2 linked regions of the Cricetulus griseus genome follow. The protein of the gene in region 1 purifies or fractionates together with the protein of each later gene. This does not show direct contact. Links are inferred from orthologs where the notes say so. Each region holds a gene or a part of one and is shown on either strand. Other genes may lie near its edges. The genes, in order: Epc1 and histone H2A.Z.

Evidence for each region.
Region 2: the proteins of Epc1 (region 1) and histone H2A.Z purify together in Homo sapiens (affinity purification with mass spectrometry; 4 studies listed by BioGRID and IntAct, with this or other methods). This does not show direct contact. The link is inferred for Cricetulus griseus from reciprocal best matches to the Homo sapiens genes EPC1 and H2AZ1.

What each region holds. Positions count from the first base shown.
Region 1 is NC_048596.1:208,105,776-208,109,588, reverse strand, and holds part of Epc1 (enhancer of polycomb homolog 1), read right to left. Parts: intron 3,653-3,813; coding exon 3,507-3,652; intron 2,759-3,506; coding exon 2,552-2,758; intron 2,029-2,551; coding exon 1,880-2,028; intron 804-1,879; coding exon 644-803; intron 1-643. UniProt on the Homo sapiens protein: Component of the NuA4 histone acetyltransferase (HAT) complex, a multiprotein complex involved in transcriptional activation of select genes principally by acetylation of nucleosomal histones H4 and H2A.
Region 2 is NW_023276806.1:21,775,255-21,779,839, forward strand, and holds histone H2A.Z, read right to left. Parts: upstream 2,913-4,585; 5' UTR 2,759-2,912; coding exon 2,756-2,758; intron 2,281-2,755; coding exon 2,203-2,280; intron 1,893-2,202; coding exon 1,779-1,892; intron 1,416-1,778; coding exon 1,286-1,415; intron 1,026-1,285; coding exon 964-1,025; 3' UTR 586-963; downstream 1-585. UniProt on the Homo sapiens protein: Variant histone H2A which replaces conventional H2A in a subset of nucleosomes. Nucleosomes wrap and compact DNA into chromatin, limiting DNA accessibility to the cellular machineries which require DNA as a template.

The sequences.
Region 1 (3,813 bases):
CAAAAAAATTTAAATGAAAATTAAAGTTAAAAAATGCTCAAGATAACAGGAATATTCCATTAATTACTCTGTCTTCCCCCCCACCCCCCATTTCCGAGACAGGGTTTCTCTGTTTAGGCCTGGCTGTACTGGAACTCACTCTGTGGACCAGGCTGGCATCAAACTCAATAGATCTGCCTGTCTCTGCCTCCCAAGTGCTGGGATTAAAGATGTGCGACACCACCACCCTGCCATAATTACTCTGTCTTAATGGTAAACCAGATCCAAATATATGGCTCATGTTTCTGGAACATACAGAAAGAAAACAATGTTGTGTAATTAGAATCTGAGTTAAATCCTGAAATATAAAAATCAAAGATTTCTGAAGTGATCTGTAAGGCCACACATTTCAGACAGGTGGACCACAGACTTCAATATTAAAACGAGGGGAAAAAAATCCCATTAAAATTTTAGTGCATCTCATATCCCCTATTAGCAAAGCCCTCCTTTATCAGACCCAGAACAAGGCCTTTCCTGGTCTTGTGGGGCAGTAAGAGAAGGAGGAATGAAACTGTCAGGAAAAGCTAGTTTTCTTTCCACCTTGCAGTAGAATTTACTTATTTCTCCTGTTTACTGGATGCTACTGTTACCAAGCCCTAATCACCTTATGAACTTTGAACTCCTTCCCATCCGTGACCTCCTGGTGTTTGAACTGACTGCTGTTAGTGATGGGGATGATGGGAATGGCGTACGTAGGCTTCACCGGCTGTCTCTGTGCCATGACCTCAGACATGATCTCTCCACTGTAGTCACCTAAATTATATCTGAAATGAGAGAGAGGAAACTTAAGCTGTACGTAGAATACAATGAGATGCTTCCATAAACACTGAGAATTCAACATCCACCTCCCCAGTCACCTCATGTGCCTATTGCTGGTGGAGGGGCGGGGCGCATAAACTACTTAAGAGCTACTTTTTTTCTGAGACATGTATCCTAGGCTGCTTCCAACATGCTATGTACTCAGTGTGACACTGAATGCAGATGGGTGGTTTGCCTGTATGCATGTCTGTGTACCATGTGTGTACCTTGCCCAGGGAGGCCAGAGAGGATGCTGGATCCTTGGGAACTAAACTTACATACAGAAGGTAGTGAGATGTCATGAAGGTGCTGGGAATCAAACCCAGGTCCTTTGGAAGAGCAGCCAGAGCTCAACCTTGGAGCCTTTAAAGTCTCTGCCTTGAACTTTTGATCTTCTCGTCTCTACCACTTCCTACAGTTGTGAGTCACCACACCTGGATCATCTGGTGCTGGGCCCTGTAATCTTATCTTGGAACACAGTGACTGAGAGGCAAGATCCTAAGGCTGAGATGCCTCAAGTAGTGTCAAGGGACCTCCGCTAATTAGGGCTGTCTGTGCTACAAAACTATTTTTTTCCCTGAAAGAATCATAAGAAATTTAAGTGTGTGTGTGTGTGTGTGTGAACCTGGAGCTTTCATTCTCTTCCTCAACAAGTGTGTTAAAATTTATGCACATCTGGTGCTTAGCAACATGCTTGCCTACAGTGTGCAAGGCCCTGGGTTTCATCTCTAGTACTAAAAATCTCCCACAAACCTACAAAACACCCCAAATAAACAACCAGTATTCAACATGAACCCCTTCACACTGCCTCAAACTGCCACAGAAAGAACTCAAAAGAACAAAAGAATTTCTCAGTAGAAACACCTGATACATTTCTTAGTGAGCCCAATCACTTTGAGAAAATAAGACAGAATTGTGAATATCATTTCACAACGTTCAACCACAGTCTGTTACTAAAGAAACTATTTCTGTGATTACAGATAAGTAGGAAATACACAGGCTGTGACTGGCAGCAGTCCTAGCATATAAGCACAAGGGTCACCTCTTTTCCATAATTTCCAGTGTCAGGTGCAGTAGCTCCCGTTTGCTCTTCTCCCTTCTCTTTATCATCTCCAGGATAGTCACAGCCCGGCTGAGATCCCGACGCAGCTTAAGCATTTTTTCATATGAGGCTTCATCATTTTTGCGATTCTGAAAATATAAAGTTTTGCTTAACTTCAAGAAGCAATTCTAACAAGGTGCAGATAAGAATGTATGCATTTGCAGGGTTACAGTTTAAAGACACAGGAAGGGAACATATATTAATTTGTACTATTAAGGCCCTCATAAAAACTAAAGGTCAACTTATTTTAATATTTTCCATTGTAATTAAAAGGTCTCTCTCTCTCTCTCTCTCTCTCTCTCTCTCTCTCTCTCTCTCTCTCCTCTCTCTCTCTGTGTGTGTGTGTGTGTGTGTGTGTGTGTGTGTGTGTGTGTGTGTGTGTGTGTGTATACAGTGGCCAGAAAGGAGTGGCACTGAATACTTTGGAGCAGGAGTCACAGGTGTCTGATATGGGTACCAGAATCATAACACTGTCCTCTGATAGAGAAATAAGTGCTCTGAACCACTGGGCAACCCCTCTAGTATAATTTTAAGGACTGTTATATGAAAGCACAGATTAAGTCATAAAATTAAGAACTACAATTTTTCTTAAAAATGTAAAAATTCACTTACTTTTCGAGTTTGCATTTTTTCAGTTCGTCTTCTAAAAGCCACGTAAGGATCATTTGTGCTAGAACCGTCTCGCTTTTCCTGTTTTACCGATGGGATAAGTGATGGCCCTCGACAGTTTTTCCTCTTTTTAATCCAGTATTCATAAACTTCTCTAATTAACTCATCATCTTCTTTTAGTAGTAGTTTGGCTTCCTGCAGACTGACTGGCTAAATGTAAAACCATTATGTCACTTTCATAAAATACATATACAAGGACTCAAAACCATTCTTCATTTAAATAACAACAATCAAGCCAACAATAGTATTGACAGAATGTTTTAAACAGGGTTAGTCTTGAACTTGTGAGGATGACCTAGAACTTCCGATCTTCCTACCACCTCCTAAGTGCTGAGTGTACATCACCACACTTGGTTTACATGGGACTGGGGAGCAAGCCCAATGTGCACGCTAGGCAGGTATTGTACTAATTGAGCCCCATCTCCAGCCCTAGTGCGTTCAACGATCTTTACAACGATCAAATTTCACAGAGCATACAGTTTGCTGTATTTCCTGACGGTAGGACTTGATATTAGTAATATTTTACCTGCTCACCAAATACACAAATGGCAGTTGAAGACTTTTTTGTTTATTATTGTTTTGGAGACAGGGTCTTACCATGTAGCCTTGGCTGACCTTTAACTCACCGAGATCCACCCACCTGTCTCTGCCTTCCAAGTGGTAGGATCAAAAGTGATCAACACATCACCTCCAGTCTATTATTTTATCTCAACATACAGCTGGGGTGACGGAGGCACAAAAAACTCAAATATACTGCTCAAAATGATACAGGATAACACAAGGAGATGTAAATTCATGCTTTCAGTTCCGGAGTCTGCTGGCTCATCCCTCCTCAACACTGCATGATTTCACATAATATAGGCATTATTATAATAGACATACAGAAATGAAGTTGTACCTGCTGACCACTGCCTTTTTCCAGACGGTCAATCATCTCCTCAAATTGCAATGGGCAGATGTCCATTTTCTTCTTCAGTTTATTCACAAACACTTCATCTTCAGAATCCAGATCGTAATCAGGCTGCTCAGCGTCCAAACTAAAAGCTGACAGAGGAACCATAAGCAATCATTTACCGAGTGTCTTCACCAGCAGAGGCCGCACAGACAGCTGCATAAAGCAAGGCCTGGACTTCCTAAAGAATGAACACTTTTTCTAGGTTCTGTCTTCAGAGTCACACACCTCTAGGCTTACTGCTTTGTCTTCT
Region 2 (4,585 bases), on another chromosome or scaffold:
CCACTGCCCTGCCCTTTTCAGTGGCACTGCTGCCCAGCAGGTACAATATACACAGCTCTTTTGGCTAGTCAGCTGTAACTCTTGAGCAGGAAGCAGTTCTCTCATCTGCAGAGGTTGCATGCATACCACCTCCTGTTACCAATTTTTGCCTCAGAAAGGAGCACGCATGTTGTCTCGGTAGGGTGAAAGGGGCAGATGCGTTTTCTCAAGCTCTTAAGGAACATGCCTGATATGTATCAATGTTTTCATCATGTTACCCTAGTCTATGAAAATAGCACGCATCCCCTGTGACTAGCATTTCACAGTTGACAACAGTGTCTGGTCACTGAGAATGATTTAACTTCTACATCTTAAGTTCATTCTGTGGAGGTTATTATGTTATACCTGGGGGTCTCTACCGGTCCAGCTGTCCCAAATTGTGATACAGTGCCTTTCACAGTTACTGTGAATGTCCAACAGCATGCCTAGTTCATTATGACAAATTGGTTATGACTTGTTGGTCTACAGATGAAGTGTTTGATTAGTAAGCAAAGAAGGTAGGGGAGCTGAATGAGATCTAGTAGTAATCATCAAGCAAGTTTAAAACTAGTTTGGGATATGACCTTTATTGAGCTTATCCACCAGAGTGGAAATAATGTCTGTACAAAACCAAATGTTTGTTACTATAACTTCTGCATCACAATTAAAATCCAAACAGTTTTTTAAAAACAGTCAACTCAATCAAAACCCACTACTTCAGAATCAATAGCTTCTTTGAAGCCACAGTAACACTTAAATATGGTTAAGACTCGAATGCAGAAATTTGGTTGGCTGGAAGGCTAATTAAGCCTCCAACTTGCTCAAATAGAATTACAAAAAGGCAAAATTGTGTTTTTCACAGAGATACAGTCCACTGGAATCACCGACACTGGACAGCTGTTAAGAATATTTAGAGTCCTGAGATAATAAGGAATCCAGGCATCCTTAGACAGTCTTCTGTTGTCCTTTCTTTCCAATCAGAGATTTGTGGATGTGTGGGATGACACCTAGGAAAGTGACAAGGATTAATTCTACTTTTTGTAGAAACATTTTGAAACAGTACATGAAATCAAAGCAGGTAAATCTACAACTTGAAAGGTCTTAAAAAAAAATTCAAACATAAAGTAAAATGATGAATGATGTTGTGTAAACCAAATTCCATAAACCACCATGATTTATAAAATATATTTAAATGCCCTCTTCTGGAAGCAATGAAAATGTAGGAATTTTCTTATTGGAAAGTAACCGAGTGTCAGTGATAACATACCACCACCAGCAATTGTAGCCTTGATCAGAGAGTCCAATTCTTCATCCCCGCGAATAGCAAGTTGCAAGTGACGAGGGGTAATACGCTTTACCTTTAAGTCTTTTGATGCATTTCCTGCCAATTCTAGTACCTAAAAGGCAAAATTCTGATCAATTTTCCAATTCCCTTCAGTCAAGATCCAGGAAGCTGGCTAAACGTCAGTGGTGTTTAACCCACCAACTGTCGTCATCCCCCCACTACCTGAATGACAAAACTATGCAAATGATGCAAAGGACTGAAGGGGCACGCAATTGCTTTTGCAACAGCAGCAAACTCTGGCTCAGCGGGATCCTTGGCTGAACACTAGCTCCCTCTAGCGCCCTCTCTCTGCCTAAGCGCCGCGCTTAGGGCCTGGGAGTTTTCTTGCATCACTTTCCTCCTTCCCTCTCGCCCACTTTCCCCCCCCCGCCCCCCAAACCTTTTCCAGATCACAGGCATACTCACTCCCGCTTACCTCTGCGGTGAGGTACTCCAGGATGGCTGCGCTATACACAGCGGCGGTCGCGCCCACACGGCCGTGGCTGGTTGTCCTAGATTTCAGGTGTCGATGAATACGGCCCACAGGGAACTTGATTTTTTTTTATGCACACAAACAAAAATGCACAAAGATAGAGGAGATTCAGAGATGGAAAGATGATGCGCGCGCGCGCCAAAGCCAAGGACGGTGGTGCACCAAGGCGCCCGGGCAGTTAGCACACGCGATCGACGCCCCCCCCACCAGCCCCCGCCGCCCCAACATTCAGTCTCCGAAGGCCAAGTCGCGACACATCACCCACGCAAAAGATGGAACACCCATGCGAGGCGCCGACAAACAAGCCAGGGGGTGCAAAGATAAAGGCCGGGTCACCCGGGCTGCGTCTGCGGCAGCAGCTGCCTACCTGCAAGCCGGCTCTCTGCGAGCGGGAAACCGCCTTTGTCTTGGCCTTTCCGGAGTCCTTTCCAGCCTTACCGCCAGCCTGCGGCGCCGCCGACGCCCGCGAGCCCGGGAGGGACGGAGAGGATAGAATTACCAAGGCGGCGCGGAGCGGCGCGCCCCTCCCCCACGGCCGCGCGTCCCGGAGGCGGGCGAGCGAGCAGGCGGGCGGGCGGGCGGCGGGCGCGCGCTCGCGGCCCGCCGGGGTCTCCGGGCCGCCGCTCGCCCCCGCCCTCTCTCCCCGCCCGCCCGCCGACCCCCGCCGCGCGCCCCGCGCGCGCCCCGCGCCGGCTCCCAGCTGCGCCGCGCGCGCCCCCCTCCAACCGTCGCCTCCCTCCCGGAGCTCCGAGCTCAACCAAACACCTCCCTCCGCTCGTCCCCGACCCGTCTCCGCACGCTCCCGCCCGCCGCCGCCGCCTCGCCCAAGCCCCGGCGACGGCGGCCCCGCCCGCTCCAAGCCCGCAGCTCGCGGCCGCCGCCGCCCCCCGCCCGGCGGCCCGCCGTCACTCTCACGTTACCATCTCGGACCGTGCTGAAGATCGCACAAGCGAGCAAGAGACGAGGCCAGGCGGACGCACAGCGAGATCCCGGCGCCCACTCCTCCGTCGTACCGCGATTCAAACTGCGCCGTCTCCCGCCTTCCTCGCGCCCTTTATACCGCAGAATGTTCCCTCATCCGGGAACTCGGCTGGCTCGGCCCACCAATGGTCGCCGCCCGCCTTCGGGACGCGTCCTTGAGGCTCCGGCCAATGGGAGGGCGCGAAGCAGGGTGGTGGGGCGGGCGCTCGCGAGCTCGAGCCGTGATTGGCGCGCGAGGGGTGGGGAGGGGGAAGAGTGGGGGAGGCGGCGGGACGGGACCGGGAGGGGAAGGGCGCCGCGGCGGGAGGGCAGACACAGAGCCCTGCGCCACCGAGGAGGGAGCGCGGGCGAGCGCGAGAGCGGACGCGGGGTCACGTGCCTGGAGGGCGGGGCTGAGAGGCTGGGGACGGGCGCGCGGGCGTCCTCCCGCGGTGTGCGGGAGACCACGTGAGCTCGCCTCCCGGTCCAGCCTGGGCCTCGCAGCGTCCTCCGGTCGGCCTGGCCGTCCCCCCCCCCTCCCCGCAGACCTCGGTTCCCCGCGGGCCCCTCCTTTGTGACAGGTGGCGCGAAGGCCTCCAGTGAGAGGAGCTCGGCTCGGCCCGCACTTGCTGAAGCACTTCCCTGAGAGACCGTCTCTTACCCCCGCCGGAGGTTGTTTTTCATCTTCCTCCGCTCCGGTCCTCACCTCTTTTGACCGCCCCCCTCACCCTCCCATCCTGTCTCGTAACAACCGTGGGGGTCAAGTTACCTTGGTGATAACAAATAATTTTGTCTACACACAGGAAGCTCAGGATGAAGCGTTATTATAATGAAATCATCAGCCATAATTTTGCCGAGAGAGACTCCACATCAATGGGGATGCGCCTATAGCCTGGTGTCTAAAGTTGATTTATTGAATCATCAAAGCTATTATGTGTCAGCTTTCCGACACTAAACATTTTGCCACATGAAAAATGTTGGGTAAATGTCAGTGGGGTAACTGTAACATGATTCACAAGCAGCCACAGATGGTTCATGTAATCAATTACAAATGCCGGGCTTAAAAAAGAAAAAGTAGGACTGTACGTACACACGGTCCTGTCCTGATGCCAGTCACTTAGACGTGCAGTTAGCAGGTCGACAATCCCTGTGTACATCACTTAGCTGCTTGGAGACCATAATGATCTAAATCTTTCATATTTACAGTACTTAATGTTTAACTCTTTAAATAAGAAAAATTATTGTGTGGGTGGTTGCAGGTGCACATGCCATGAAGACTTTGTGGAAATCAGATGACAACCTGTGGAGTGGGCTCTCCCTCTCTCCACCTGTACATGGGTTGCAGGGATGGAACTCAAGCATGCTTACACAGCACTTTTACCCATGGAGTCATCACCAGCTCAACGGTACATTACACTTTTTATGTAATTGAATAGTAATGTGAAGAGAATTTTGAAGCATAAACTCTATATTTGGGCTTCAGTTTGAAATGTTTTATGAAATTTGAGGCCCTCTCTGGTGCCAGGAGATTAATGGCTAGAGGAGAGGCTCCCAGCAGTTTTGATGCCATGGCTTATTGGAACTAAAGAATTATAGTGATGCCATCATATGATGACAATTAAAAAAAAAAAACTGTGAATCTACAATCCCAGCACTTAGTAGGCTGCATCAGGAGAATCACACACGGAAAGCCTGTCAAAACTAAACACAGATTCTATTTCAAAAACTGTGGCAGCCCACACTGGTACCCTTACACCATTAATTCTAGCACTAGGGAGGCAGAGGCAGGC